4 linked regions of the Macaca mulatta genome follow. Each later gene encodes a partner of the first gene's protein in a complex. Links are inferred from orthologs where the notes say so. Each region holds a gene or a part of one and is shown in the gene's direction. Other genes may lie near its edges. The genes, in order: MYO5A, SPIRE2, MLPH and RAB11A.

Evidence for each region.
Region 2: the proteins of MYO5A (region 1) and SPIRE2 are in contact, whole or in part, in a crystal structure (PDB 5JCY), measured with the Homo sapiens proteins. The link is inferred for Macaca mulatta from reciprocal best matches to the Homo sapiens genes MYO5A and SPIRE2. Residues at the interface, in NP_001369276.1 of Homo sapiens: Asp1551, Val1554, Arg1555, Thr1559, Ile1562, Asn1563, Lys1566, Ser1597, Gly1598, Leu1615, Thr1616, Asn1617, Phe1618, Asp1619, Leu1620, Ala1621, Glu1622, Tyr1623, Val1626, Asp1629, Leu1630, Gln1633; in NP_115827.1 of Homo sapiens: Arg404, Pro405, Arg406, Val407, Leu408, Leu409, Lys410, Ala411, Pro412, Thr413, Leu414, Met417, Glu418, Met420.
Region 3: the proteins of MYO5A (region 1) and MLPH are in contact, whole or in part, in a crystal structure (PDB 4KP3), measured with the Mus musculus proteins. The link is inferred for Macaca mulatta from reciprocal best matches to the Homo sapiens genes MYO5A and MLPH. Residues at the interface, in NP_034994.2 of Mus musculus: Asp1524, Val1527, Arg1528, Leu1531, Thr1532, Ile1535, Asn1536, Lys1539, Ser1570, Gly1571, Leu1588, Thr1589, Asn1590, Phe1591, Asp1592, Leu1593, Ala1594, Glu1595, Tyr1596, Val1599; in NP_443748.2 of Mus musculus: Lys184, Lys186, Arg187, Leu188, Leu189, Ser190, Phe191, Arg192, Asp195, Phe196, Glu197.
Region 4: the proteins of MYO5A (region 1) and RAB11A are in contact, whole or in part, in a crystal structure (PDB 5JCZ), measured with the Homo sapiens proteins. The link is inferred for Macaca mulatta from reciprocal best matches to the Homo sapiens genes MYO5A and RAB11A. Residues at the interface, in NP_001369276.1 of Homo sapiens: Ile1660, Gln1661, Trp1738, Met1742, Arg1745, Tyr1746, Ser1749, Gln1750, Glu1753, Arg1756, Gln1777, Gln1780, Val1781, Lys1782, Lys1784, Met1795, Glu1818; in NP_004654.1 of Homo sapiens: Arg33, Glu35, Ile44, Gly45, Val46, Glu47, Phe48, Ala49, Thr50, Gln63, Trp65, Gln70, Tyr73, Ala75, Ile76, Ala79, Arg82.

Annotation. Positions count from the first base shown.
Region 1 is NC_133412.1:29,823,684-29,831,034, reverse strand, and holds the start of MYO5A (unconventional myosin-Va), read left to right. Parts: upstream 1-2,984; 5' UTR 2,985-3,357; coding exon 3,358-3,384; intron 3,385-7,351. UniProt on the Homo sapiens protein: Processive actin-based motor that can move in large steps approximating the 36-nm pseudo-repeat of the actin filament. Can hydrolyze ATP in the presence of actin, which is essential for its function as a motor protein. Involved in melanosome transport.
Region 2 is NC_133425.1:85,310,388-85,317,076, forward strand, and holds the end of SPIRE2 (protein spire homolog 2), read left to right. Parts: intron 1-3,046; coding exon 3,047-3,181; intron 3,182-3,347; coding exon 3,348-3,415; intron 3,416-3,660; coding exon 3,661-4,183; 3' UTR 4,184-4,455; downstream 4,456-6,689. UniProt on the Homo sapiens protein: Acts as an actin nucleation factor, remains associated with the slow-growing pointed end of the new filament.
Region 3 is NC_133417.1:142,720,142-142,727,756, forward strand, and holds the start of MLPH (melanophilin), read left to right. Parts: upstream 1-2,707; 5' UTR 2,708-3,086; intron 3,087-7,615. UniProt on the Homo sapiens protein: Rab effector protein involved in melanosome transport. Serves as link between melanosome-bound RAB27A and the motor protein MYO5A.
Region 4 is NC_133412.1:43,316,213-43,323,541, forward strand, and holds the start of RAB11A (ras-related protein Rab-11A), read left to right. Parts: upstream 1-2,242; 5' UTR 2,243-2,359; coding exon 2,360-2,399; intron 2,400-7,329. UniProt on the Homo sapiens protein: The small GTPases Rab are key regulators of intracellular membrane trafficking, from the formation of transport vesicles to their fusion with membranes.

The DNA of each region.
Region 1 (7,351 bases):
GATGACTACCGTAATTCAAATTGCTTCTGTCTCCAAATTCTTTCTTCTCTGTACGGTTTTTCTCATTGCATACTGTTCTGGTTTGAGTTGTGTCTCTCAAAAAATGTTGAAGTTCTGACCTCTCCCCACCCTACCACCCCTGGGAGTGTGACCTTATTTGGAAACACCATCTTTGCAGATAATCAACTTAGGATGAGGGCAGTGGGTTGGGTCCTAATTCAATTATGACTGTGTCCTTATAAAAAGGGGAAATTTGGATATAGAGACATGTGCACACACAGGGAGCCTGCCACGTGAAGATGAGGGCAGAGATTAGGGGATGTCGCAGAAGCTAAAAATGTCAAATGCCAAAGATTGTCCACAAACTATCAGAAAGCAGGAGAGAGGCAAGGAACAGATTCTCCTTCACAGTCCTCAAAAGGAACCAACCCTCCCAACCCCTTGATCTCAGACTTCTAGCCTGCAGAACTGTGAGATAATACCTCTCTGTTGGTTACACACAGTTTGTATTACTTTGTCATAGCAGCCCTAGGAAACTAATACACCACTTACCACCTTTACCTTCTAACTCTATCATTGCCTTTCTCCCTAATTAAAATGGAATCTCCATGGGGTCAGGACTCTTCATCTGTTTTGCTCATGCATGAATTCTCAACATGTAGAACAATGTCAGGCATGTGATAGCTCTCAATATTTGTTGAAAATGAGGAATGGAATTTTTCATATAAACCTAGACCTTGTTTTCATTTGAAAACAATCTACATAAAAATGTTCCCAGTAATAAAGCAATAACGGAAAACTTTAACAACGTAAAATAAAATATACTACCCTCTAGCTACTCTTTGAGAGAGGGATTCCAGACCCTGGGAAGCTGTATCTATTGCTGATTTCTACACCTCACTAGTGACAGAGTGCTTGGAACTGTGAATGTATACGTGGAAGTTAGCAGAGGCCACCCCTCAGGGCTTCCCTTTGCTGCTTCTGACTTTTTACTCTGCTTTTTTTCTGAAGGAAGTAAGGTAAGGTCAAGAATACAAAACCTGGCCAGGCACAGTGGCTGATTCCTGTAATCGCAGAACTTTGGGAGGCCGAGGCGGGCGGATAGCTTGAGGTCAGGAGTTTGAGACCAAGCTGGACAACATGGTGAAACCCTGTCTCTACTAAAAACACAAAAATTTGTTGGGCGTGATGGTGGGCACCTGTAATCCCAGCTACTCAGGAGGCTGAGGCACGAGAATCGCTTGAACCTGGAAGGCAGAGGTTGCAATGAGCCGAGATTGTGCCACTGGACTCCAGCCTGGGTGAGAGAACAAGACTCAGTATAAATAAATAAATAAACAAAACTCTTCTCCTCCTCATCTCCATTACCTTTCTTTTAGCATGGCCCCAAATATTTGAGTGGTTGAATGCATGTGTTCTGGACTTAAAAGAGGATAATTCCCGTTTCTTTTTTCTCCTTGTCACTTGAAAAAAAGAAAAGAAAACGAAGAAAGCATTCACACCTACAAGAACTCTTCCAGTTTTTATTTATTTATTTTCTCAGTATACTCAGTATTTCTCAACAGTCCTGGGAGGTAGGTATTATCTGATGGTGAGAAAACAGGCAGAGTGGTTACCACCTTGCACATGGCATGAAGAAACTGCAAGGCGTAGGAGCCAGGCCTCGTAAATCTCAATCCAGTGCTCCTTCCGTTCCGCTGGTCGTCACTGCACACGTTTTCTCTTTTTACGTCTGGGTGAAGAAAGGGTGGGTCCCAGAAACACGAAAGCGATTTGGTTTTACAATGGAAAGGAACAGAGACAAATCTGCAGGGCTTTCGACTCTGTAACCATTCCCTCTAGCATTTCCGTGGGGATTGTGGGCGAAGAGGAGAGGTCTGAGTTCCAGGGAGTAAGGACTGGCCCCCTGTTCCTTTCAGCGAATGAATGGTCTTTCTCCAAATACACACACACATAACACACACAACCGGGGCCCCCAGCCATGAGAGTTGGTCTTGATAGAAATGGTCTACCAGATTACTATAACAGGCTACTGGGGACCAGTTGTAGTTCAAAGACACCAGAGATGAGGCAGGGATTAAACAAACAACAACAACAACAACAATGAAGATTATTCAACCAGGAACGAAAATGAGGGTGGGGAGAAGATAGAGGGTGAAGACAGCGCAGGGTTGGGAGTAGAAAGACCACATTTTTGTGCTGGATGTGCAAGGCTCACCCTGAGGAGAGTGAGGGCGGCTTTGATCTTTTGATGCTGAGTTAAACTGCAGATAGATTTTCCATGTAAGTACTCTGTCATTTTCAGGTGGCAACGGGATAAACTTCAGGTGCCACCATGGAGCCGACAATCACCAGGAGAGAACAGGACAGGAAAGAAGGCTGGGACAGAAGGGTAGCTGCATCTCTGCAAACGCACAGGTCTAGGAAAGAGGCACCTGGGCTGTCCCCTGAGGCTATCTCGTTTCAAAGTCACTTAAGTTTCTGTAGCTTATAAGCGGCTCCTGCCCTCCCGGCATGATGACACGGCTTTGCTGCAGACATCGAGGTGCTCGGAATGACCTTGGTGATCATCCTTAACCTCAAATTCCCGGTCCTGCATTGCCCATCTCCCGGGTCACTCCTGCTGACAAGGCTCTTCTGCAGTTCTGGGTTATTCTACAGTCTTTCAAGAGGGCTTCCCCTAAATCCTCTCCCTAGGAATGCTTGGAAGGACGGGAGGAGCAGCCTCGAGGTTCCCATCGTTTACTCGGACACAGTGACGGCCCCCGCCATGGCTGCCCTACCACGGGGGCTAGGCTCCGCAGCAGAGTCCCGGGCTCGCTTCGGGGCCTGCGCCCGGGGTGTGCCGCGCCCTCGGGGCCAGTGTCCCGGGCGGGTTTCCGGGCCTCGGTAGCGCGGGAGGCGGCGGCGCCGGCTGGCAGGCTGATGATGATGATGCTCTGTGCTCGCAGCCGTTGGGAGGCAGCGTGAGCCTGAGAGAGCCCAGAGCAGCCGCGGTGGCCCAGCTGGAGCGCAGCCTCCTCCCGCTCCCATAATGCACAGGGCGGCGGCGGCGGCGGCGGCGGCGGCGGCAGCATCGCAGGCCGCCGAGGTGGCTGCGGCGGCGGCGGCGGCGGCGACCCCCAGGACCCCGGGCAGGTGGAGCGCTCGCGGCTGCTCGCCGCGAGCCCGGGAGTGATGGCTAGGCCCCCGCGGGCCGCCAGCGCCTGAGGCGCCCCGCCCCGCCCCGCCCGGCCCCGCCCGGCCCTGCCCTGCTCCCCGCCGGCGGCTGCGGGCGCTTCCTAGTCCGAGCGGACGGCCGCCCAGGCGAGGTGCGGCCTCCGCACAGGCGGGGGGCGTAGGCGCGCGGAGCCCGCCATGGCTGCGTCGGAGCTCTACACAAAGGTAAGGCGCCCCGTGGCCGGCGTGGAGGACTGGGGCCGCGCGGCCCTTGCCGCCAGCTGTCAGGCTGGGGAGGGGGCGGGAGCGGCGGGGCCAGCGCCACCCTCTTCAGCGCTTCAGAACCCTCGGCCCTACCCGCCGGTCGCCCGCTGCAGCACTTTCCTCTTTCGGGCGAGATGGTTAAGGCGACGGAGGGAGGCCCGCCTCGGGGGTCTCCCCGGCTCCTGCTGCGCTGCTGGAGCTGGGGGCAGAGCGGGCTTCCGAGTGGAAAGGGGGCCCATGTGGATTTAGCAGGGCGGGCGTGCCTCACCTCCTGCTTGGCTTTGGAAAACTCCCGGCGGGTGGGAGATGCTTGCTCCGGTAGATCGGATGGTTTCTCTCATGGGGACACGCGCTTAAAATAACGTCCTGTGTTGGTATGCAGTGCTGCTTGTACCGCCAGCCAGCCTTTCTGTGAGGTTATTTTGAATCCTGCAAACGGTGGCCGTATCACCTTTAGCTCCCCGGTTTAGCTGCGCTGGGGGTGGCGAGCCCCGGGGAAAGATGTTGCCGGATGAACGCGAGCTGATTCACCGGCTGGGAGGGTCGGTACTCATTTGTCGCTGGGAGTTTGCAACCTGCGTGTAATCCCGCAGAGCCTTGTTAGGCTCCGTGTCTTCACATCCTCTGGGGCAAACCTTTCCTTCTGGGTTTGCTTTAAGGGAAGTGGCAGTCTTTTCTTAGAGTGACATCAATATTCTCAGGGTCTGGCAATCTCTGAATGGCCTATTATGGAGAACTGTCACTTGAGTGCTGTGCAGATTTGTGATGACCTTTGTGAATATATGTAATCATGGCATTTTATACTATACACCCATGTGTAGGTAGATATTTTGCCAACTATTGATTACTTCTACATGCAGTTAATAGAGTTGCCTTTTCACATTAGCATTTGCAATAGAACTTTCATTTAGGGTCCTGTAATCACTGGAATCATTGTTTCCAAATGTGACTCAAGTCCAGGGCCCAAGTTGCAGTGTGTTTTACAGAGGAAAGAATTCTGGACTGGGCATCGAGAGACCTGGATTCAAGCCGGGACCTTTTCACTTACTCACTGTGACCTTGGACAAGTCACTTAACATTTCTGGTTCGATTTCCTCATGAGTAAATAGAGTTAATTATACTTGCCTTTCATCCCTTACAAGCTGTTCTGATAATTAAACTTAATAATAGTTGTGAAAGCTTTTTGTAACCTATGAATTTCTCTGCAAATATGAGGTAATATGATTAATTTCTTCAACCATGAAATGAGGAACTTGCATGAAACATTCTCTGAGACCTCTTTCTTTCTAGTTTTAGGTTTAAGGACTGTCCAATTGGAACTTCTCTCTCAACCTGGTAATTTCTTTAGGCATTGCAGATCTCTGATGTGTGAACGAATGCAATTGGAAACTGATTAAAAGTAACTTAACAGACACTTAATATGGTGCTTACTATGTGCCAGGTACTGTTTTAAGCGTTTTAAAAATATGAACTCATAATCCTTATAAGGGACTTATGAGGTTGATATTAAGAAATATCAAAATCATTTTCACATGAAGAGATAATCGGTCTGTAAACATTCCTTGGTTACTTTGTGTAGCCCCTCCCCTACACTTCTACATCAAGTTCGTCCAACCCGCAGCCCGTGGGCTGCATCCGGGCCCAGGACCGCTTTGAATGTGCCCCAACACAAATTCGTAAACTTTCTTAAAACATGAGATTTTTTTTTTTTTTTGCAATTTTTTTTTTAAGCTCATCATTTATCATTAGTGTATTTTATGTGTGGCCAAACACAGTTCTTCCAACGTGGCCCAGGGAAGCCAAAAGATTGGACACCCCCCATTGTATATGGTGAGCAGTCATCTTTGAGCTACTTAATAGTAAGCTGCTTAACTAGAGACTGATTGGATAATTAATTGTTGTTGGATTTTGAACACTTTTTCCCCCCAAGATGATTTGAGAGAAAAAATGGGAAAGATATTATGATTTGCAAATGGTAACGTTTTGGGCTTCTGTCACAGCTTTATCACAATCTATTTTAAAATTTACCTTTTAACAGCCTGAGAAACATAGTGAGACCTGGTCTCTACAAAAAATTAAAAAATTAGGCTGGTCACGATGGCTCATGCCTGTAATCCCAACACGTTGCCGAGGTGGGTGGATCACCTGAGGTCAGGAGTTCGAGACCATCTTGACCAACTTGGCAAAACCCGTCTCTACTAAAAATAGAAAATTAGCTGGGCGTGGTGGCGCATGCCTGTAATCCCAGCTGCTCAGGAGGCTGAGGCAGGAGAATCGCTTGAACCTGGAAGGCGGAGGTTGCAGTGAACAGAGATTGCACATTGCACTCGAGCCTGGGCAACAAGAGGGAAACTTGGTCTCAAAAAAAAAAAAAAAAATTAAAAAATGAGCTGGGCGTTGTAGTCACGCCTGTGGTACCAGCTACTCGAGCTGAGGCAGGAGGATCAGCTGAGGCAGGAAGATTGCTTGAGCCTGGGAGGTTGAGGCTGCAGTGAGCCATGATTGTGCCACTGCACTCCATTCTGGGCAAAAGAGCAAGAACATGTCTCAAAAAAAATTTTTTTTCTTTTTAACCTCTTTCTCATTTTAAAACAGACTGGCTTAGAGAGCAAGACTGAAGTTGGGGCTTACACTGCCTTTTTCTAAATACACTTATGCCTAATTAATAATCTGGTTACTTGGTTGGTTGTTGGCTAATTCTTTTTGTAAATGGGCCTTAGCTTAATGGCAAGCGGAAATAGTTATCAGGCATCCTGGCATCCTGTGTGCCAGGTACTTTGCTTAATGTTTATAACAGTGAACAAGATACAGTCCTTTCCCTCAACGTGCTCACAGTCTGCTTCTTACATTCTTGACCCACTTTGAATCTATAGGGACATAAATAACCTTATTAGTAGAAGTTAGGGAATGGGTTGGGACATGGGGAAGATTGGGCTGATTCCAGAAATAAAAGCTACTATTGTAATTACTAGAGGAATAGGAAAATCATTAGAAGTATTATCAGTGGATAAGCACAAGGATCTTCCCCTTGCAGAGGATTATAGGAAGGAAGTTCTAGGATAGATTACAAGGAAAGATGTATTAGTGACATGCCATAATTATAGTATTTAATATAGTGGTTAAATATGAAAAGTACCCTTTAAAAAAATGTCATTCAGATCTTAAGGGCAGATTTTGATGTGTGATACAGATCAGTTCCTATTACAGTGAAGGACAAGAGACTGTTCAGTTTCTTCTTTTTAGCCAGAATGATAATGGTTTTGTCACAGCAATTTAACAAGGCTTCCATTTTGTCAAAATTTCCTGCAGTATAAACATTTTCAGGGCAGTAGCTAGGTTCTTGGGATACATTTCTGGAAACTAATATTTTGGTTGAAACATGTTTTGTTGATTTTTAAAAATAACAGCTTTATTGAGATATGAGTCTTATACCATATAATTCACCATTTAAAGTGTACTATTCAATGGTTTTTGGTTTATTCACACAGTAGTATGTTGATTTGTTTGTGGGTCAACCTGCCTTACTCCCTCAAAAATTGAAGGAAACTATGATATGTCATTGCTTCTGATTTTGAAAATATTTGCTAGTCTTGACTTGTCAGTGCATATTTATATCACCCATAGGTGCTTTTGGTAACTAGAAGCAATTCTACATTTGTGGAGTGGGGTTTATCAATTAGACCTAGAAGGATTACCGGCAGCATTATAATGAATGGCATGCTATTCCTCCTCTCATCATGTTCCCAGACACCATGGATAGCACCATAAATGCTGTAGAATGGTCAAGATTACCTGAAGCTGATTTTTTTTTTTTTAATTTTTTTTTTTTTTTGAGACAGGGTCTCACTATGTCACCCAGGCTGGAGTGCAGTGAAAGTGAACATGGCTCACTGTAGCCTTTAACTCCTGGGTTCAAGCTATCCTCCCA
Region 2 (6,689 bases), on another chromosome or scaffold:
CCTGTCTGGGGGGCGTGGTCTGAGCGCCTGTCTGGGAGGGCGGGTCTGAGCGCCTGTCTGGGGGGCGTGGTCCAAGCGCCTGTCTGGGGAGCGTGGTCTCAGCGCCTGTCTCAGAGGGCGTGGTCCGAGCGCCTGTCTCAGAGGGCGTGGTCTGAGCGCCTGCCTGGGGACTGTGGTCTGAGCGCCAGTCTGGGAGGCGTGGTCTGAGCGCCAGTCTGGGAGGGCGGGTCTGAGCGCCTGTCTGGGGGGCGTGGTCCGAGCGCCTGTCTCAGGGGGCGTGGTCCGAGCGCCTGTCTGGGGGGCGTGGTCCAAGCGCCTGTCTGGGGAGCGTGGTCTCAGCGCCTGTCTCAGAGGGCGTGGTCTGAGCGCCTGCCTGGGGACTGTGGTCTGAGCGCCAGTCTGTGAGGCGTGGTCTGAGCGCCTGTCTGGGAGGGCGGGTCTGAGCGCGTCTGGGGGGCGTGGTCCGAGCGCCAGTCTGGGGACTGTGGTCTGAGCGCCGGTCTGGGGGGCGTGGTCTGAACGTCTTCGGGGCGCCAGTGGTGGCGCTGCTGGCCTGCGGCAGTGGTCTCTGCTGCCGCCTGCTGGGGCCGAACCGCACTGCGACCCCGGATCCTGGAGCCACCTTGCAAGGGACGTCCCGAATTGAAGGGTTCAGTGTGGGGTTAGGGCAGGCGGCGAACTTGCGCGCCCTGTGTGCCTGGAGGTCAGTGTGACGGGGCTTCACTGGGTCGCGACCTTGACTCTGGCCGTGACGCCGCCAGGGTACTGCTCAGCCCCTCTCCCCTCGGTTTCATATCTGACCTGTAATTGTGAGGAGCTCACTTTTGCTGACATCTTGAGGCCACGTGGACGTGAGTTCTAGTGTATCATTTAATCAACTGAGGTAAGGCGAGTGTGCGGCCCGTGGGCCATGCTGGCAGCATGCAGGTGTTGGAGGGATGTGAACGGTGTGGTTGCTGCCGCTAGTTGAGGTTTTATCAAGAGGCTCAGATGAGAACAGATGTTAAAATGCTTTGAGAACTATGAGCCTTATATAAACGCAAGGCACTGTTCGTATCCCCCACCGAAACGCAGGGCTTGCCCCGTTAGTCTAGGTCGCAGGCCCCGCCGAAATGCAGGGCTTGCCTCATTAGTCTAAGATTAGCTATATATCACTGCATCAAAAGTTACCTCACAATGTAGCATCTTAAAATAACAAACATGTATTATCTCACACAGTTTCTGAGGGTTGGGACTCCGGAAGTGTCTTCGCCGTGTAGCTCCGGCCCAGGGTCTTTCGTGAGGCTGCAGTTAGGATGGCAGTGGGGCCTGCAGTCTCGACTGAAGGCTCAAATGGGAGCTGGAGGAACCACATGAAGTGGCGTCCTCAGCCAGCTGTGAGCAGGAGACGCGAGTGCCCTGCTGTGTATACAGGCCTCTCTCGGGGCTGCTTGGCGATCTCCACAGGGTGGCGGCTGGCATCCCCCAGAGCATGTGGCTCAAGAGTGACCGCCGTGAAAGCCACTGAGTATTTGTGGCCAAGTCCAGAAGTGCCACGTTGTCCCAACTCATTAGCAGCGAGTCAGGAAGTCCAGCCTATTCTCAATGGGAGGGAGGGAATTAAGGCCCACTTCTTTTTTTTTTTTTTTTTGAGACGGAGTCTCGCTCTGTCTCCCGGGCTGGAGTTGCAGTGGCCGGATCTCAGCTCACTGCAAGCTCCGCCTCCCGGGTTCACGCCATTCTCCTGCCTCAGCCTCCCGAGTAGCTGGGACTACAGGCGCTGCCACCTCGCCCGGCTAGTTTTTTGTATTTTTTAGTAGAGACGGGGTTTCATCATGTTCACCAGGATGGTCTCGATCTCCTGACCTCGTGATCCACCCGTCTCGGCCTCCCAAAGTGCTGGGATTACAGGCTTGAGCCACCGCGCCCGGCCAACACTTCTTAAGGAATTAGAGGACGCATTTAAGATGACCACAGGTCACATGAGTGGTTCTTTAGCTCTGAAGTCTCAGAAGTGCTTTCTGAAGGGGGGCTACTGAGCATCACCGAACCTGGCCTTCCATCTGCCCTGGGCTCACAGCCTCACCTGGGGGGCAGGCAGCTGTTCTCTGCACCCGACGTGAGGTCTCCTGGCCACGGACGTTGTTGGCGTAACATCTGTGACATCTCAGGTGACCTGTTCAGCTGGAAACAGCACCATCAGGCAATTGGCAACAGAAGCCCAAAGCTCTGGGTGCCTCAGGTCATAGTGAGGAACAAATGCAAGGGCCGCAGCTCCTCCCAGTGCCAGACAGGAGCATGTGTTCCCAGCTCTAGACAGGATAACCCACTGCAAATCCAAAGCAGAGCACATGGTCCAACTCCATCCGTGTGGCACCTTCATAGACGGTGCCCACCTGCCTCGGCAGAGTAATGACTGACACTGCAAACGCGATGCCGGCATGAGTCATCTCGATGGAGCTGAAATCCAGCCCCGTTTTACAGAAGAGAAAACTGAGGCTTAGAGAGATCAGGTGTCAAGTTCTATGCCAAGCACAGGGAGGCAAAAACAGGACACACTCATCATAATGTGGCCCCAGGAATTGGTGGTCAGGACACAGGAGGTGTGCTGAGTGCAGATGGGCAGATGCAAGCTGGGCCCCAGGAGTGAGGTGGTCTGTTGGAGGCTCCTGGACCTCCCGGATGAGAGGACATCAGCTGCTCAGGGAGGGAGGATTTGAGATGGACTCTGGCTGGTGTGGATCTGCCCATAGTGTGTTTGCAGGGAGGGACACCTTGAACAAACATGGGCTGAGGGGAGTGTGTGTGGAGCGTGGCCAGTGAAGGCTGGGTTGGCTGGCAGGGGCCGCTGGTCATGGGAGGCCTAGCCTGCAGCAGTAGCGCCTCATCAAAGACACGGGGATGGATGGCTGACGGACAAGTGTTTTAGAAGGTCGCGGGCTTGTTTAGGCTGAGGCCAGGAAGGCGTGAGGGTCCTCAGGGAAGGAGAGCAAGCTGGGGGAGACTCCTGCATGGAAGACTTTCTACCTGAGGCCGAGTGAGCACAGCCCCTTGCCCCGTCCCCCAGGAGTTCAGCCACCCCGTGGAGAGCCTTGCGCTGACCGTGGAAGAGGTGATGGACGTGCGCCGTGTGCTGGTGAAGGCCGAGATGGAGAAGTTTTTGCAGAACAAGGAGCTCTTCAGCAGTCTGAAGAAGGGGAAGGTGAGGCTGCCTAGACGTGGGGCTGCTCTCTTGCCCGCTGCGTCGGGGGCGGATCCCAGGACTGTTTGCTCATGATCTGGTTGGGAACCCTGAGGGGCAGCAAGGACAGGGCAGGACCCAGGGAGCTTTGGACAAAGCCGGGCTCTAATCAGGTCTTTCCTGACAGATTTGCTGCTGCTGCCGGGCCAAGTTCCCGCTGTTCTCGTGGCCGCCCACCTGTCTCTTCTGCAAGAGGTGAGCCTTCCCTTTAGCTGCCAGTTCACAAGGGGAGGAGGAGGTGAGAAGCCTCTGGGCAGTGCTGCCCACAGAACTTCCTGTGACTCCAGGAATGTTCTAGCATGTTCCATGGCTGATGAGTCCACAAATATCGTTAGTTGAATGAGGAGTTAAATTTTAAATTTTATTTAAATTAAATGAAACTTAAATAGCTAAGCAACTCCCAGTTTCAGCCAAGATGGGGTAATCGGCATCTTCTACAGCCCAGAACAAACAGGATATGAAACAATGTTTTTCAAGACTTTGGACAGCAGGCAACAAAAAGGAAACACAACAGGGCAGGCCTGCCATCACCGCAGTCATTGTCTGGAGAGTTTCTCGGCCATGAGCCACAGCCGCCAGACTCCCGGAAAGGAGGAAATCCAGGGAGACCACAGCAGCTTGAATCCCCCATGCAGAACTCCGGAGGAGAGGGCTGCGCCGAGAAAGCCTCAGAGAAGGGCCCCCTCTCTGAAGGAAATGACTGAAGGCTGCAAAACATTTCTCCTAAAGCAGAGATTGACAAACCATAGCCCAATCTGGTCCTCCGCCTGTTTGGCGAGTAAAGTCTCGTTGGAACACAGCCACACCCATTTGTTACTCGCTCAGCCACGCCTAAAAGGTTTATTCTCTGGCCCTTTACAGAAAAAATTTACCTTCCCTTGTTATAAAGATCTGAAGGAACAGTGCTCAGGGCCAGGAATGAATAACATCCGTTTCCATCAGCCACAGCCAGAAATGTCGTGATTCACAGGGCACTCACCAGAATGCACACGAAGGCCTGGCCTCACTAATGTGGAATAAGTAGCCCAAAGTGAGTGTTGCTCCAGGCCTGACTGATAAATCATAAAAGCAAGACCTGAAAGGATCAAACTGTTCACAGATATCTTAACTGATTCTGAGAACAAAGCTCAAGAACAAGACTTTTTTAAAAACAAACAAAAAAACAAAGCAGTACTCAGCAAGATAAAATGTCTGGCATCTAATCAAAGATTACCAGGCAGGCAAAAAAGACAAAATTAATTACAATGTATTGTGGGTTCTGTAACACACGTATAAGTAGTGTTGATAACAATAGTTAGCATTAAGGCCAGGGAGAGGAGAAAATTGGAAGTATACTTCTTTTTTTTTGTTTTTGAGATGGAGTCTTGCTCTGTTGCCCAGGCTGGAGTGCAGTGGTGCAATCTCGGCTCACTGCAAGCTCCGCCTCCCGGGTTCACGCCATTCTCCTGCCTCAGCCTCCCGAGTAGCTGGGACCACAGGCGCCGCCACCTCGCCCGGCTAGTTTTTTGTATTTTTAGTAGAGACGGGGTTTCACCGTGTTAGCCAGGATGGTCTCAATCTCCTGACCTCGTGATCCGCCCGCCTCAGCCTCCCAAAGTGCTGGGATTACAGGCGTGAGCCACCACGTCCGGCCAGAAGTACACTATGTTCACTATGATAAGGTGAATCACTATGATAAGGTATAGTAAGGTGTTATATATGCAATACAAATATTACTTAAAGGTAGACTGTGATAAGTTAAAGATGTATACTGTAAGTCCTAAAGCAACCACTAAAATAAAACGGTTACAGCTAATAAGCCAACAAAGGAGATAAGATGGAACCATAAATATTAATTAATCCAAAAAAAGGTAGGAAAAGAAGGGGAACAAATAAATGAGTCAAAAAGAAAACAAATAGCAAGATGTCAGACTTAAACACAACTTATCTAGCATCACATTAACTGTAAATGATCTGAACAACCCAAGTAAAAGCTAGAGTTTCCCAGACTGAATAAAAAAGTAAGGCTGGGGCGGGGCGTGGTGGCTCACACCTGTAATCCCAGCACTTTGGGAGGCTGAGGTGGGCGGATCACGAGGTCAGGTGGTTGAGACCAAACTGGCCAACATGGTGAAACCCCGTCTCTACTAAAAATAGAAAAAAATAGTCGGGCGTGGTGGTGGGCGCCTGTGGTCCCAGCTACTTGGGAGGCTGAGGCAGGAGAACTGCTTGAACCTGGGAGGTGGAGCTTGCAGTGAGCTGAGATAGTACCACTGTACTCCAACCTGGGTGACAGAGGGAGACTGTCGCAAATAAATAAATAAATAAATAAATAAAGTAAGTCTGGGTATGGTGGCTCACGCCTATAATCCCAGCACTTCGGGAGGCTGAGGTAGGAGGATCACTTGAGCCAAGGAGGTCAAGGCTGCAGTGAGCTATGATGGTGTCACTGTACTCCAGCCTGGGTGACAGAGCAAGACCCTGTCTGGGAAAAAAAAAAAATCACCTCATTTTATCTGTAAAATTATATATATTTCTGTTGATATATACTTGGAAAAGCCTGGAGGATGGAAACCATTACTAGCAGGGATCATTTCTGAGGATGTAGTGTCCAAATTTTAATTCTCTCATGTTTGAATTTTTTTTTTTTTTTTTTTTTTGAGACGGAGTTTCGCTATTGTTCCCCAGGCTGGAGAGCAATGCCGCAGTCTCGGCTCACTGCAACCTCCGCCTCCCAGGTTCAAGTGATTCTCCTGCCTCAGCCTCACGACTAGCTGGGATTACAGGCATGTGCCACCACACCTGGCTATTTGTGTATTTTTAGTAGAGATGGGGTTTCTCCATGTTGGTCAGGCTGGTCTCCAGCTCCCGACCTCAGGTGATCCACCCGCCTCAGCCTCCCGAGTAGCTGGGACTACAGGCGCCCGCCACCAGGCCCGGCTAATTTTTTTGTATTTTTAGTAGAGACGGGGTTTCACCATGTTAGCCAAGATGGTCTCGATCTCCTGACCTCGTGATCTGCCCGCCTCTGCTTCCCAAAGTGCTGGGATTACAAGTTTGAGCCACCGCGCCCGGCCTTGAATTTTTCATAAGAAGGTATTTATTTTTGAAGTCAGATACGGGGATTAAAACAAAATTGACTCACCTTTTAAAACTGAGCATCTCAATTGAGGCCCCTCTGGCTTCCATGGTGCTTTTACGGTGAGTAGTGTCAGGCACACACCAATGTCTACGCGTCATCTTAGAAGGAATCTTAGATGTCTTTCCGAGACAATGTGCAGGTTTTGTTTTTTTTTTTTGAGACAGAGTCTCTCTCTGTCACCCAGGCTGAAGTGCAGTGGCATGATCTTGGCTCACTGCAACTTCCGCCTCCTGGGTTCAAGCAATTCTCTGCCTCAGCCTCCCGAGTAGCTGGGACTGCAGGCGCCCACCACCACACCCGGCTAATTTTGGTATTTTTAGTAGAAACAGGGTTTCACCATCTTGGCCA
Region 3 (7,615 bases), on another chromosome or scaffold:
CCCAAATTTAGAGACAGTCTAAAAAATAAGTGGCTTAATATTTAGATAGCAAAGCCATGAGAGTCAAAGACAGAGGAACTGATCCGATTTGAAGGAGACTTAGAAATGACAACTAAACACAACATGAGATTCTGAACTGGATCCTTTTGCAACAAAAAATTACGGAGACAACTGGCAACATTTGAAAGGACTCCAATGATTAGATGATAGCAACGTATCATTTACAGATGTTGATGGTTGGATTGCAGTTTAATAGAAGGTTGTCCTTGTTTGTATAAAATACACTAAACCTTCATGTCAGAAATTCATCACAAATGGCTAGGGGAAGGGAGGGTTCTTCGTGTTATAATTGAAACTTTCTGTAATTTGAGGATTGTTTAACCATTTTAAATATTTATAATTCTAGGGCCAGGTGCGGTAGCTCACGCCTGTAATCCCAGCACTTTGGGAGGCCGAGGAGGGTGGATCACGAGGTCAAGAGAGCGAGACCATCCCGGCCAACGTGGTGAAACCCTGTCTCTACTAAAAATACAAAAATTAGCTGGGCGTGGTGGCATGCGTCTGTATTTCCAGCTACTGGGGAGGCTGAGGCAGGAGAATTGCTCAAACCCAGGAGGCGGAGGTTGCAGTGAGCCGAGATCAAGCCACTACACTCCAGCCTGGCAACAGAGCAAGCTTCTGTCTCAAGCAAAAAAAAAAAAAAAAAAAAAAAAAAAAAAAAAAAAGCTTATAATTCTAGAATTTTCTCTTAAAATTGTGTACATCCTTTGACTCAGAAAATCCAAATCTGTAGGCTTTTAGTCTACAGATATATCAGTATGTATGTACAATGATATTTATGTGTCATCCTATGTATGATAGGTGTCAATAAGAATTATGTAGAATGATATATTTATGGCAGAATCATTTAAATAGCAAAAAATCAAAAATTAACTGTCCATCAATAGAAGACTGATAAGTAATTATGGTAACTCACACAATGGATATTCTACAACCAAAAAAGGATGAAGTGGCTCGACAGAAATAGTAATTAGTATTTACCAAGCACTCACCACGTGGTGTCTCACCCAAGCTGCGGGGATATTGATCCACAACACCCTTATGTGTAACTCCCATTACTATTCCCGTCATGGAGAAGAGAGAAAAAAAGTCGGCCAAAGATTCAGTTACAGGTCCAAGATGACACAGCTTGTGGGCCACACTCCTAGCTAGAATTCCGACTCTTGCAGTTGGTTTGAGCCCACATGCTTCACCACAGACACACACACACACACACAATTCAGAAAGAATACACAAGACACCATTAATAATGATTGCTTTCAGGTCGTAGAGGTTGGTAGTGGAATAAGAGAGAAATTGGCTTTTCATTTTATATTCCTTATATTCTTTACTATATACCTTATATATCAGCATGTGTCAGTTGTATATTTTTTAAAACCACTAGTTCAAATACATAAGCACTAAAGTATTAAAAACTTAAAAAAAAAATTCTGCCCTTAAGGAACTTAAGTCCCCACATCAACTCTTAAGGGATTTATTAATCTTACAGGCAACAGTAAGGCATATGGCAAGGAGGTAAGGAAATGAAAAACACAAACACCAGATCATATGGGATGTGGAAACGCTGGCGTCAGTGTAAGCTTCACCCCATTCCAGGGTTCACACTCAACAATTGATGGTGTTTGGTGACAGCACCTGTCCCAAGGCAGCCCAGGGACCTGAAATACCCTGATTCACCTACAGTGTTCCCCAGGGCTCAGCAGGCAACAACATTCTTTTTTATTCTTTTGCAGCCTTTTGAAAGCTGTTTACAAATAATCTAATGTGATATCACAACAATCCTGTAAGGTTTCGTTTCCTCTTCTGTTAAATGGAGATAGTAGTATCTGTTCACCTGATGGCTTTATTCCTATCATTTTGCAGATACGGAAACTGAATTGCAAAAGCAGTTCCTGAAGAAGGGAATGTAAGTTTTTAATGACAAGGGAGAGGGAGGAGGAGGGAGAGAAAGTTCTGAAGCGCTCAGTCCTGGAGGATGAGGGAGGAGGGCAATTCCCTAATGTCCACTGGAACTCGGAAGGACAGGCAGGCGTGGCGGACTGGAGATGGCGGCTCGCCTTGGGACCCTCTGAGTTCGCGGGCCCCACTGAGCACCCAAAGGCCGGCCCTAGAGTCCAGGAGGAGAGCGCAGCCGCACGGAGCTCCCAGGCATCCCCCGCAGCGCGTCCTCGGTCCTGGCACCGCCGTGCCGCGCGTCCTGGCTTCCACATCTGCCCCATTTGCCCACGGATCTTGACTTTTTCTTGGCGGGCAAGGCCTCGGTCTCCACCCCGCAGCGGGGTTGCCTGAGGCTGCGGGACCCTCCTGGTCCTGATGCCTGGCAGAATCGAAGGGGTAAGGGCACGCGCTCTGCAGCAGAAAGCCCTGGGCTTAAAGTCCCACTTATTATTTGGCGTTGCCACTTACTGGTCGGTGGCTTTGGTAGGGCGCGTTTCTGAGCCTCAGTTTCCCCATCTGTAAAGCCGAAGTAAATAGCGCTCTCCTGGCAGAGTTAGAAATTTCGACGATGTGCCGCGCGTTCTAGAGCGTGCTCAGCAAGCGGGTCCACCGTGCCCAAGGCAGGACCGCGGCACAATGTCACCCACGCAAAGTCGCCGCAACTCACGGGAATCGCAGCTGTGTGCTGAACCTTCCCCACTCCGCCGCCCTCTTTCTCCCCAAACTGACCTGGGGGCGAGTATCCGGGGCTCTCCCCCGCACTGGCGCTTCCCGCGCGGGCGTCCCAGGTGAACGTCCCGCCCTCGGCCTGGCAGGGCATCCAGAAGTGTCCGCGCTCCCGGAGCTGGGCGGAGCGGGGCGCAGCCCACGTGGTTCGGGCAGGAGGCGCCGGGACCTGGCCAGCTGCCCGCCTGCCCCGAGATCCAGGCGCGAGCCAGCCGCTCTGCGCCCCGCGCCCTGCTTGCCCCCATTATCCAGCCTTGCCCCGGCGCCCTGACCTGACGCCCTGGCCTGACGCCCTGCTTCGTCACCCTCCTTTCTCTCCCAGGTGCTGGACCAGGGACTGAGCGTCCCCCGGAGAGGGTCCGGTGAGTGCCCCGAGAAGAGGGAACAGCGGGGCTATGGTGGCACCCAGGACTGAGGGCTTAGGCTTTGGGGAGTGCGCGGTGTCGCGTGCAGACCCACTGGTATGAAACCGCCCCCAGCCGCCAGCCTCCCTGCCTTGGTCCAGGCTGGTGAGGACAGCGTGTTCCCAGCCACCCAGCCTTAGTCCCCAGGCTTCACCTGGATTCTTTGAGCAGACTGGTCTGGGTGCGGGCACGGGTGGGAGTGGGGTGGTGGGGTATCCCCATTTTGGGCAAAACGGTTGGTTTTAATCGGAAGCTCCATTGCCTCCATTGCGAGTCTGCCATGCAGACTGGGCCAAGGCTGCTGATGCCACGCAGGCTGGCCCCAGGGGAAAGGCTTCCTCCCTGCCCGGGAGCTGGTCTTGCGGTGAGGAAGAAGCCGGATGATCTTGGCATGGGAGGAGGCACCCGGCTTCCTTTGGGTATCTAAAAGGCTGTTTTATTGGAATCACCTTTTGTTTGCAGACAGACTCCCTGGGCCCGCCAGGGAGTTGTGGGAAGTAGAGATATGGGAAGGGTCTGTGAGCTCTGAGCACCTGTGGGCTTCGTCCCGGCCCTGGCCCCAGGTCCCTACAGGAACTGAATCTCACTTGTAAATCCCCGAAGATTCCACAGGCTTTAACACCGCGTCCCACTGACATTAACTGGCACTGAAAACTCCACCTCACTTCCACGCAGAGCTTGGGTTGGGGCCTTTACAGGCCCTGTTTTTAGGTGGTGTGACTGGTATCTTGTTCACATATTTCTTTCTGAGGGAGTGAAATGACAGTCGGGGGAGAGCAAGGCTCCCCACAGGTGCAAAGGCCAGCATTGCTGGGGGCTGTGAAGTCTCAGGAAAAGGCTCCTGGACTAGCCGACCACGCTGCTGACATTGATGCCTCGGGTTCAGCTGGCCTGCATCTGTCCTTAGAAACCCATCCCTCCACCTGCTCACTGTTGGGACTCAGCTGAGGTCAGCAAGGTCTCAGCCTTCCTGGGCCAAGCCCCCTCCCCGCCCAGGGCCGTGCTCCTCAGTATCTAAGTACCAGGCATGGGTCACTGTGCTCCTGGCCCTCACTCAGGCTCAGAGAACAGCAGCAGGTGCCTCAGAGGATTGACTGAGGACACATTTAGAGAACATGGGGCGGTGCCAGGCACACACATGGGGAGTCAGTGGGTCTTGCTGAATATGGCATGAGTGACTTGGAGAAAATTAAAACCAGCTGAATGTGTACCCAGTGAGGGGCTGGAGGTGGCGGAAGTGTCCCAGAGCCCTGTGGGCTAATGGGAAAAGTGAATTTGGTGCCTTTCAACCGCAGTGTAACAACGGCTCAAGTGAGCCCCAGTCTCAGCGGTTGGGGCAGCCTTCTAGGGCCAACCATCTTGTTCTTTTCCAAAGCAACCTCTGGAGGAACAGCCCTTGCCCCTACTCCTCCCCACTATCCTGACGCCATCACTCCCCCTCCCAATTTCAACATCCTGGCATCATCCAGGGCTGGAGAGGGCCAGAGAGGTCCTGGAGCTCAGCCATTGTCCATGGTACAGATGGAGAAACTAAGACCCTGAGAGAAGTGGCATCTGTCCCAGGCGGCCGGGCTGGCTGTGCCTGAACTGGGATGGGAACCCAGCTCCCACCTCTCAGCCCCATCCTCCCTCTGCAGCCTCACCTGGGACCCATCCTCCCTCTGCAGCCTCACCTGGGACCCATCCTCCCTCTGCAGCCTCACCTGGGACCCATCCTCCTTCTGCAGCCTCACCTGGGACCCATCCTTGCTGTAGAGACTAGCACTGAGGCTTTAGGAGCAAATGCAGAACTCATGTCCATTTATCAGTGGGGTTTACCACCAACTCCCCAGAGAACCGGGAGAGCAGAGGAGATGGCAGCTTGGTAGGCAGGTGGCTGAGGGGCAGAACAGCCTCCCAGTGCTGTTGCTGCTGGAGCCATTCCAGACCCTTGTGGCTACAGCACAGATGTGCCTGGTTCACCTGTAGGGAAGGGAGTGGCCCTTCTGGGTGGAAATGTGCTCATTTAGCCACTGATGAGAGCTGGGGGTCAGTGCCTACTGATGGGCCCCGCCTACAGAAATAACCACACAGGCCAACCTGGACAGCAGCATTCGGGAAATGGCCACAAAGGATTAAGGCAGAAGGCACCACAGTTGTCATCTCTGCTACCTCCCCTTTATCAGCAAGAATAACACCCACGACACGCCTTGGCTGAGTCAGAGAGGGCATTCCTGCTGTCGTTAGCTTGCCAGTTTGTTTGCTCAGGCAAGTGATCACCCACAATCACCATTGTTCCAAGGCTCTCTGAGCAGCCAGCTGAAGAGCTACTTAAGCCAATTCTTCATCCAGGAGGAGCCCCCACCCTGATTTCCCTTCAATTTGGCCAAAAAATGAATTCAACTCTTTAATGGATAAAGGTGACACACCACTGGAATTCAGCGGTCTGGGCCTGGGATATCCATCTTATAAAACCAGCTCCACTCTCTCCTCCCTGCCTGTTAATCCCTGTGTCCCCTCCCTCTGCCCCACTATGGCTATTAAACCACTGGGGAAGGCTGGCTGTCTCCAGTGGTTAAAATATGATTGAATCTGAGCAGTGGAACAGGCACTAAAGGGAAGTGTTTTGTTCAGGAACCTCGTGAGCAGGCGTTATCTACACAGAAATGGAACAAGGAACAGATAGAGCAGGGTGGCATCTGCCCTTGCCCAACACACGCACTCTGGGAGCCCCCACCCCCACCTCACCCAGCTAGGGCAGGCACAGAGCAACCCTGCACTCCTCATGGGTCTAGCATGTTCTCTACCCTCACCTCCCTGAGCCCATGGAGGTCGAGGCTACAGTGAGCCATGATTGCACTACCACACTCCAGCCTGGGCAACAGACTGGGACCTCATCTCAAAAAACAAGAAACAAAACCAAGATTTGAAAGGGGATAGAAAGAGGGAGGGACAGGTATCCAGGCAGCCTCTAGGACATTAGTTGTGATGTACTGTGATCTTTTTATCCATTCACTTACTGGTCACTGACTGCTCTAAGAAGGTTGCAAGATAAGAAAAGCAGGTTTTTCCTTTTGTTTTGCTTTTCTTCCTCACATATCACGATTTAAGTTTCTCAAACTGAGGCCTGGAATTTTGGCTTCTGCGTTAGGAGAAGAGAGGGAATGCTAATGCCTCAGCTGATGGTCACACTGTCCATCCATTCTGAAAATAGAACGTCGGTGAATGCTCTTCTTATGATCCCTTTTTTTCAGAACTCATGAAAAATAAAAGTGAATGAACTCCAGTCATGCATCAAATAATAACTTTTTGTTCCAATTCTTTAGAAACCAGAAAGTGTGTGCTCTGCGGAAGCATCAAAAATGAGTTCCGTGGTAAGGATTTCTTGACCAGAATCTAAATCTGACTGTAAAGGAACAGAGTTTGAATGTTCCCAGGACATTGGGGCAATCTCTTCCTATATTGCAAACACTCCTCTTTACATTTGAGAATGGAAATGTTGAGGTGTGGGTGTAAAAAAAAAAAAAAATTATCCTTCCCCATTTTTATGGCATAAGCCAGGGACTATTTTCGCTGACTTCCATGAGAGCTTTGTAGACATTTTTATTTTAAATGGTATTTGCCCAGAAAATGTAACTTTTCATAATTAACCTCTTGCGCAATGAAATCGAAGTACGTCTCCAGCACAGGGGAAGTTTTGTTAGTATTTTTGTGATAAACACTTCCAAATGGTCAGCAGCACTGATGGGAGATGCTTCCCAGAATTCAGAAGCAAAATTGAGTCTTTTTGGTGGTTTTGAGACTTCCTCCTGAAAGCACACAAATTGGACCGTTTCTCTGATGTTCCTGAGAAAATAGGTTCAAGTCCTCAAGGAAAACTTGTTGAAATCACGAGGTGGTTTTTAAACTTTCAGTTACTCACAACAGAACTCCCAGTCATCCAAACAAAATATTCCCCAAAGCCTCAGTGCCCAGAGCAGAGCTGGTCTGTCTATAGCTGCAGCATCTAAGGGCTGAGGGCTTCCCTGGCATAGCCTGCTGCACACCAGGGAGCTTCAGGCACAGAAAAGCAACTGCCATGTGCTGGGAACAGATAGAGTTGCTATTCTCGTGGAACTTAACAATAACTAATGGGACATCACCAACTGTTAAGGGGTATAAAGAAATGTTAAAGGGATGGGGACAGGTGAAGGAGTAAAAACCACAGGATGGTCAGGGAAGTCCTCTGTGGGGAGCATGCACAGTTTTGCAGTGTCCCAGTGTGCATGCATTGGTGGTGAGGTTCTCCCTGGTACAATTGTGCCTCCGATTTTATACCCAGCAGTAATGTCCACATCAACATGAGCTGTGAGGCCTGTATGATATTGCCATATGAAAAGCCAACAAGAAGATCTGTCATTCTCTCCTCAGCCACCATCACTGCATCACTCCCCTGCCTCACACCCATCACCCACCCGATAGGATGTACAGGTTAAAGTCCTCTGTGACTCGCCCACCACCCAAGTGAA
Region 4 (7,329 bases), about 13 Mb from region 1:
CCCTGACTCAAAAAAAAAAAAAAAAAAAGGAAAAAGAAAAAAGTCAATGCATTCATAAATATTTATTATGTTCCATGCACACTGTTAACAGCTATACATATGTTACTTAATTCCTTCTTCCTGTTTGTCCCCATTTTGCAGATAAGAAACTGGGATTCAGCAGGATTAGATAAATTATTGAAATTGACACAGCTTTAGTGAATGACTGAGCTGAAGTTTAAACACAGCCTTATCAGTCCTCACTTTGTTTTTAACAAACATGTAAGGTTACCTCCCCAGATGTGGAGGGTGAGATATATTTCAGGTCTTGCTTCTCCCACAGTCTAAGGCTAGGCATTTCTAAATTTATAATTCCAGGCTTTTTACTAGACAGTTCCTTTTTATTTTCTTACCAACTGTATTAGTCCAGGTTCTCTAGAGGAACAGAATGAATAGGATAGACATATATATATATAAATGGGAGTTTATTAAGTAGTATTAACTCGCACAATCACAAGGTCCCACAATAGGCCTTCTGCAAGCTGAGAGGCAAGGAAGCCAGTTTGAGTCTCAAAGATGAAGAACTTATAGTCCAACATTCGAGGGCAGGAAACATCCAGCACGGGAGAAAGATGTAGGCTGGGAAGCTAAGCCAGTCTAGCCTTTTCATATTTTTCTGTCTGCTTTATATTCGCTGGCAGCTGATTAGATGGTGCCCACCCAGGTTAAGGGTGGGCCTGCCTTTCCCAGCCCATTGACTCAGCTGTTAATCAGCTCACTGCGACCTCTGCTTCCCGGGTTCAAACGATTCTCGTGCCTAAGCCTCCAGAGTAGCTGGGACTACAGGCGCCCACCACCACGCCCGGCTAACTTTTTGTATTTTTAGTAGCGACGGGGTTTCACCTTGTTGGCCAGGCTGGTCTTGAACTGTTGACCTCAGGTGATCCACCCACCTCGGCCTCCCAAAGTGCTGGGATTAAGGCGTGAGCCACCGTGCCCAGCCCTTTTTCCACTTTTAAGTACTCTTACGACAACACTGGGGTCACCCAAATAATCCAGGATAATATCCCTAATTTAATGTCAGCTGATTAGCAACCTTAATTTCATCTGTAACCTCAATTCCCCTTTGCCATGTAACCTAACCTATTCAGTCTCTGGGAATTGGGAAGTGGACATCATTGGCAGGTGGTATTCTTCTGCTTGTTCTAGGCACACTTGCCCACAAGTCTAAATCGAGAGTTTGCATATAGGAGGTAGGAGGTGTGACAATAATTGGATAAAGGCTTTTCTGGAATTACAAAATTCTCTTCAAATACAGGGAGGCCCTGCGGCATGATATCTGGCAAATCACTTGAGTCTTAGTATCCAAATTTCCGCTAAAATGGAAATTGCCATCCTTTGCTCGGCATATTAAATGAAATACTTATGTAAACGGACTTAGATTAGAGGCCTACAAATAGGACTCAAGTTCTTGATGAATCTTGATGAGGAGGGTGGGCGAAGTACTCTAAATGAAAACGAGATAGACTGAGAGATTTCCGGAGAGGAGTGAGTGACAAGCGCCTACCCGTGCATGAAGCTGGAGGTAGAAAATTCCAGCAAAAGGAATTTTCAAGTTTCATTGAAGCTTCTGAATTAAAGTTTGAGGGGCCAGGGTTAAAAAAAAAAAGGTAGTGAAGAGGCTCATTAAGACAACCCCCGCCAGGTAGCAGATAGTACCTCAAATGCAGTGGGAAATTTGTGAGTTCTTCATAGGCAAGGATTAAATTTTACATCTCCATGTTAATATATGTCATAGTTGTTCAATTACTTAGTGAACAAAAAAGTTGTTAAGGAAAAAAAAAAGCACCAATGCAGGTTCCACCGAGATTTGAACTCGGATCGCTGGATTCAGAGTCCAGAGTGCTAACCATTACACCATGGAACCGCCACGCATATGTAGTTGCCTTCGGCTCTCTGATCCTTAGACAACCCCGCCCCCATCCACAAACCCACCACTCACAGGCGGTCCCGCCCGGTTCCAGCGAGTCGCTTCCGGGCACGGTAGCTCGAGAAATAAGCAAGAGGCCACTAAGACCACGGTAGCTAGGAATTCCAGGACTCAGTTTCCCCTTTGAGCCTCCTTTAGCGACGAAAGTTTGAAGCCCCACGCATCGCGACTCTCGTGCATACCGCCCTTCTTGGGTTCAGGGACGGGGAGCCGCCCCCGGAAGTACTTCCCCTTAAAGGCTGGGGCCTGCCGGAAGTGGCGCAGCGGCAAGGAGGGGCTCTTCACCCAGTCCGGCAGTTGAAGCTCGGCGTTCGGGTTACCCCTGCAGCGACGCCCCCTGGTCCCACAGATACCACTGCTGCTCCCGCCCTTTCGCTCCTCGGCCGCGCAATGGGCACCCGCGACGACGAGTACGACTACCTCTTTAAAGGTGAGGCCATGGGCTCTCGCACTCTACACAGTCCCCGTTCGGGGACCCGGGACACACTCGGCGGACGTGCCGGCCACCCGTGCACTGATAGAGGCCTGCCTCAGCCCTTCCTTTTTGTGTGGTTCCGTCTCCTACCCAGCTCAGCTTCTCTCCTCCTCAGACAGGGGTCCCCATCACATGCCGCTCTCTGAGCGACCTCTCCGTGGGCCTTGGCTGGCCTCACAGCCCCTCCCTGCGTGTCCTTCCCCTGGCGGACTGCCTTCTCGCATATCGTCGAATTCCTTTCCCTGGGTTCTGCGGCCCCGCCGCCCCTCCCACCATCTCTCTTTTCGGGTGTAGCGCCCCCTCCCCCTCAGCGTACACCTTTCCCGGCTGGCGTCCTCTCCCGAAGCCCCTGTGACGGGTTCTTCGCTTCCCTCTTGGCCTTGCCTTCGGTGCAGACTCCCACTACAGGTCTTTTCTTATCTGCCCCCTTTCCCCCTCGAGCGAGCCTCTTTTCTGCATATCTCCTCCCCTTGTTCGGCCCCCCCTCTAAGCTTCTCGCATCCCGGGTCCAGGACCCGGTAAAATCTGAGCGGGCCAGGGGTCCCCACCCCCACCCTCCGCCCCGCGGTTCTCGCGGTCCTTAACCTTCTCTGACCGCTCCCTCCCCCACTCCCCATTTGGCAACTCTCTCTACCTTCCCTCCCCAGATCGTGTTTAGAGCTCCCTGGTCTCCGTTGCGACCCGGGTGGTGGGAGGGTAAGAGGGATCGACCATCACCCAGTCGCGCACTTGTCGCAGTGACCCGGCAGGCTGACATTACTTCCCACCTAGCCTTTTATTATCTTGCTCTCCCTACTCAGTGGCACACAACCCGGGATAACTCTTTACTCGGTTCGCGAGAAGAGGTTGCGGATGGGTGGTGGCTGTTATCCTTGCCAGACCTGAAGGCCCGGTTCCTGAGCAGGAAAGGTTGTGCGCTGCACAAATACTAGCTTGCTTTATCTCTATGGACTGGTTGCTTCCTGCTGCAACACTGGGAGGATCCAACAGGAAGGGAAGAGCCCTAGTTGGCCACATACCTTTCCCAAAAGGTTGGGGGTAGGAAGGAAGTTGTGTGCTCTTTTGGTCACATTAAATATTTATTATAAGGTACGGAAACATGTAGTGCCCTTGGATAGAACATATCGGAGGGTCAGGGTTGGTTAGAAAGAATTGCTTATTGGTTGAGTCCGGAAGGAATCCAATTTTTTTTTTTAGTCAACGAAGATAAAGGGTACATTTTTCAATAAGAAGAAAGTACAGTAGATGCTTTTATTGTTCAGTGAATGTACTCTCACTCTGATGCTCTTTCTCTGCTCCTGAATTGGGAAGGTAGCCATCAGTAGTGTGCTGAACAAAGATCATTACCACTGAGGAAGAAGCCATTGCTATTAAAGCTTTACTGTGGAGGGTGGAGTTTAAAGAGTGTTAAGCATGGTGACTGTTTCTGTCTTTGCCATTGGGTGCTAAGAATGATTGACTAAACCAAGCAGGAAAGATTTGTTTGCTTTCCCAATACTTTGCAAATCTTGTTATACTAGCCTGCTGTTGTACTCTTGTCGTCTCTTACGCCTCTGACCCAGAATATTCTATTGTATAGGGTGAATACTTTTGGTATCCCCCCTCCACCCCATGCTGGAAAGTACTTTCAGGGTACTTAGTTCATTTTACAAATACAAAACTCAGACCTGGATTACAGAAAGTATACTATAGCATACGTTTTGCCGAAGGTATCTGAGATGATGTGAAATTATTTGAATCTCTTGAGACTTTGGGGTTAAAGGGAGGTTTGTGTTTTAAAATATGGTATAATGGTAGTGTGCCTTTATAAAGGCTGTCTTTGAAGTAATTAATTCAGAACAAGATAGACCGTCAGGGTATTTCTCCTATTTGGTTTGAACTGGAATGTTGGTTATACAAGGTCCTTTTATTTTTTAACAAAGAATATTAAATATTCTGAATTGGCCTAAAGTATTTCAGCTTTTTGATTAGACCATCCTTCTAGCAACGATTGAGAGCACCGAGCTTTGGAATTAACGTAGATTTCGGTTTAGATCCTGACTCAGGTCTTATATTTACTATATGACCTTGGAAAAGTTAACTTTTCTGAGTCTCAGTTCTCTCATTTATGTAAAGGAAAATACCTGTCTCTTAAGATTGTTGTGAGAGTTAAATGAGACTATTTGTAAAATTTTAACCATGAGGACTCAATAAATGGTAATAATGTGAAAGAAGTTACTGTGGTTTTGTCAGTTTTTTTTTTTTTTTTTTTTTTTTGAGACAGGGTCTCGCTCTGTCCCCCAGGCTGGAGTGCAGTGGCACAATCAAGGCTCACTGCAGTCTCGGCCTCCTCAGGCTCAGGTGACCCTCCCACCTCAGCCTCCCTAGCTACTCTCTAGCTCCTAAGAGTAGCTGAGACTACAAGAGTGCAGCACCACGTCCAGCTAATTTTTTTTTTTTTTTTTGTAAAGACAGGGTTTTGCCATGTTGCCCAGGCTGGTCTCGCACTCCTGGACTTAAGCAATCCACCTGCCTCAGCCCCCGCCAAGTGCTGGGATTATAGGCGTGAGCCAGTGTGCCTGGCCTTTGTCGGTTTTTTGAACCTTAAATGTAGGTTCAACTACAACAGCGTTTAAATATTATTAAAAAAACATAAAACTGGAAACTTCTAATGCATTTTATTTTTCCATGGGTTATGGTTTCATTTTGTTGTGCATTTTGCTGTTTAAGATAGGGTATTAAAACTTCTGCTGAGGAGGATTTCTACTTTTTTGTTTTTGAGATGAAATTTCGCTTTTGTTGCCCAGGCTGGAGCTCAATGATGCGATCTTGGCTCACTGTAACCTCTGCCTCCTGGGTTCAAGCGATTCTCCTGCCTCAGTCTCCCGAGTAGCTGGGATTACAGGCATGCACCACCACGCCCGGCTAATTTTGTATTTTTAGTAGAGACGGGGTTTCTCCATGTTGGTCAGGCTGGTTTCAAACTCCTGATCTCAGGTAATCCACCTGCCTGGGCCTCCCAAAGTGCTGGGATTACCGGCATGAGCCACCGTGCCTGGCCAGATTTCTAATTTTTTAAAGCTCTTACAGGATATGAGTCACTTTTTTCTTTTTTTTTTTTTTAACTTCAATACTGATTATTTAGCCAATTTCTTATTTATACAAGTATCCTGCTTTAAAGTGAAGAATGATTTTATTTTAAAATAACTTTATTGTACAGAGATTTATTCACTGAGATGGACTGCAGCTGTTTGTACTTAGACTTAACCTAGCAAATGCAATAGTTGAGGAAATTGGAGTTAGTTTGTAACTAACAAGTTGAAAATAAAGGGATATTTTAATTAATAGGGGATGGAGTGGTCTAAATAGGAATGTAATGTGGGACGAGCAGTACAATTATTCTAAATTATGACCTTTATTTAAGCCCAATAGTGAGACTTTTGGTGGGAGGGAATTAGTTTTATTTTATTTAAACTTTTTATTTTTAAAACTTTAATTTTGTATTTACAAACAATGTGGTTAAGGCCCTGTGGGACGTAAGTAAGCATCAGTCATAATTTCTGTTTACAAATATTGTGTGGTAGGCACCAATCCAAAGTTACATTTTCTGAAAATACCTGGATACATAGTCTATTGCTTAAGACATTTTCTTTTCAATCACATTGGAAGTCAGTAGTAATTAACCGTCAGCTGATTGTCAGTATAAATTATCATGGAAACTTTGCTGTCTTGCATCTTGTTAGTAGTTTTTCTTTCACAAGTTTTGGTTGAGCAACTCAGATTCTGCTGAATCTGGAAAAACTTGTCTAGACTTGAGCCTTATTGTTTGCATTATATATATAATTCTTTCTCTCTCTCTCTCTCTCTCTCTCTCTCTATATATATATATATATATATATATATTTTTTTTTTTAGGCAGGGTCTCCCTCTGTTGCCCAGGCTAGAGTGCCATGGCACAGTCATAGCCCACTGCAGCCTCAAATTCCTGTGCTCAAGAAATCCTCCTGCCTCAGCCTCCCAAGTAGCTGGAACTACAAATGTACTCCACCATGCCTGGCTTCTTTTTTTTTTTTTTTAAGACTATCCTACTTACAGAAATAAAAATTTCTTTTTTGTGGAGATGGGGTCTCCCTACATTGCCCAGGCTGGTCTCAAACTCCTGGGCTCAAGGGATCCTCCCACCTTGGCCTCCCAGAGTGCTGAGATTACAAGCATGAGCCACTGTGTCCCACCTTGAATGCATTGTATATTAAAAACTTTTGAGGAGGTTGGACTGTATGAATATAGTTGAAAGAATAGAAATGTCTCGAAATTTATGAAAACCAGAATGAAAATTACCAGTTATTCTTTCAGGTGGTAACTTTTAGGGTTGAGGTACTGTCTTTGATGAATTATATTTTGGTCCAGTAAATTAGTTTGCAAGAGAAAGTATAAAACTAAATGTAGTTGAAGAAGCAGAAATTTTTAATTAAACAATGGATAATTAATATGTATATTCTGCTTTTATGCATTTAGCAGCTTGATATTTAGTATTAGGTATTTGCGATGATACTCAAATACGGTAGGTGTCTAGCTGATAACTTTTTTTTGAGACAGAGTCTTGCTCTGTCGCCCAGGCTGGGGTGCAGTGGCCGGATCTCAGCTCACTGCAAGCTCCGCCTCCCGGGTTTAGACCATTCTCCTGCCTCAGCCTCCCGAGTAGCTGGGACTATAGGCGCCCGCCACCTCGCCCGGCTAGTTTTTTGTATTTTTTAGTAGAGACGGGGTTTCACCGTGTTAGCCAGGATGGTCTCGATCTCCTGACCTCATGATCCGCCCGTCTCGGCCTCCCAAAGTGCTGGGATTACAGGCTTGAGCCACCGCGCCCGGCCAACTTTTTTTTTTTTTGAGACGGAGTTTCACTCTT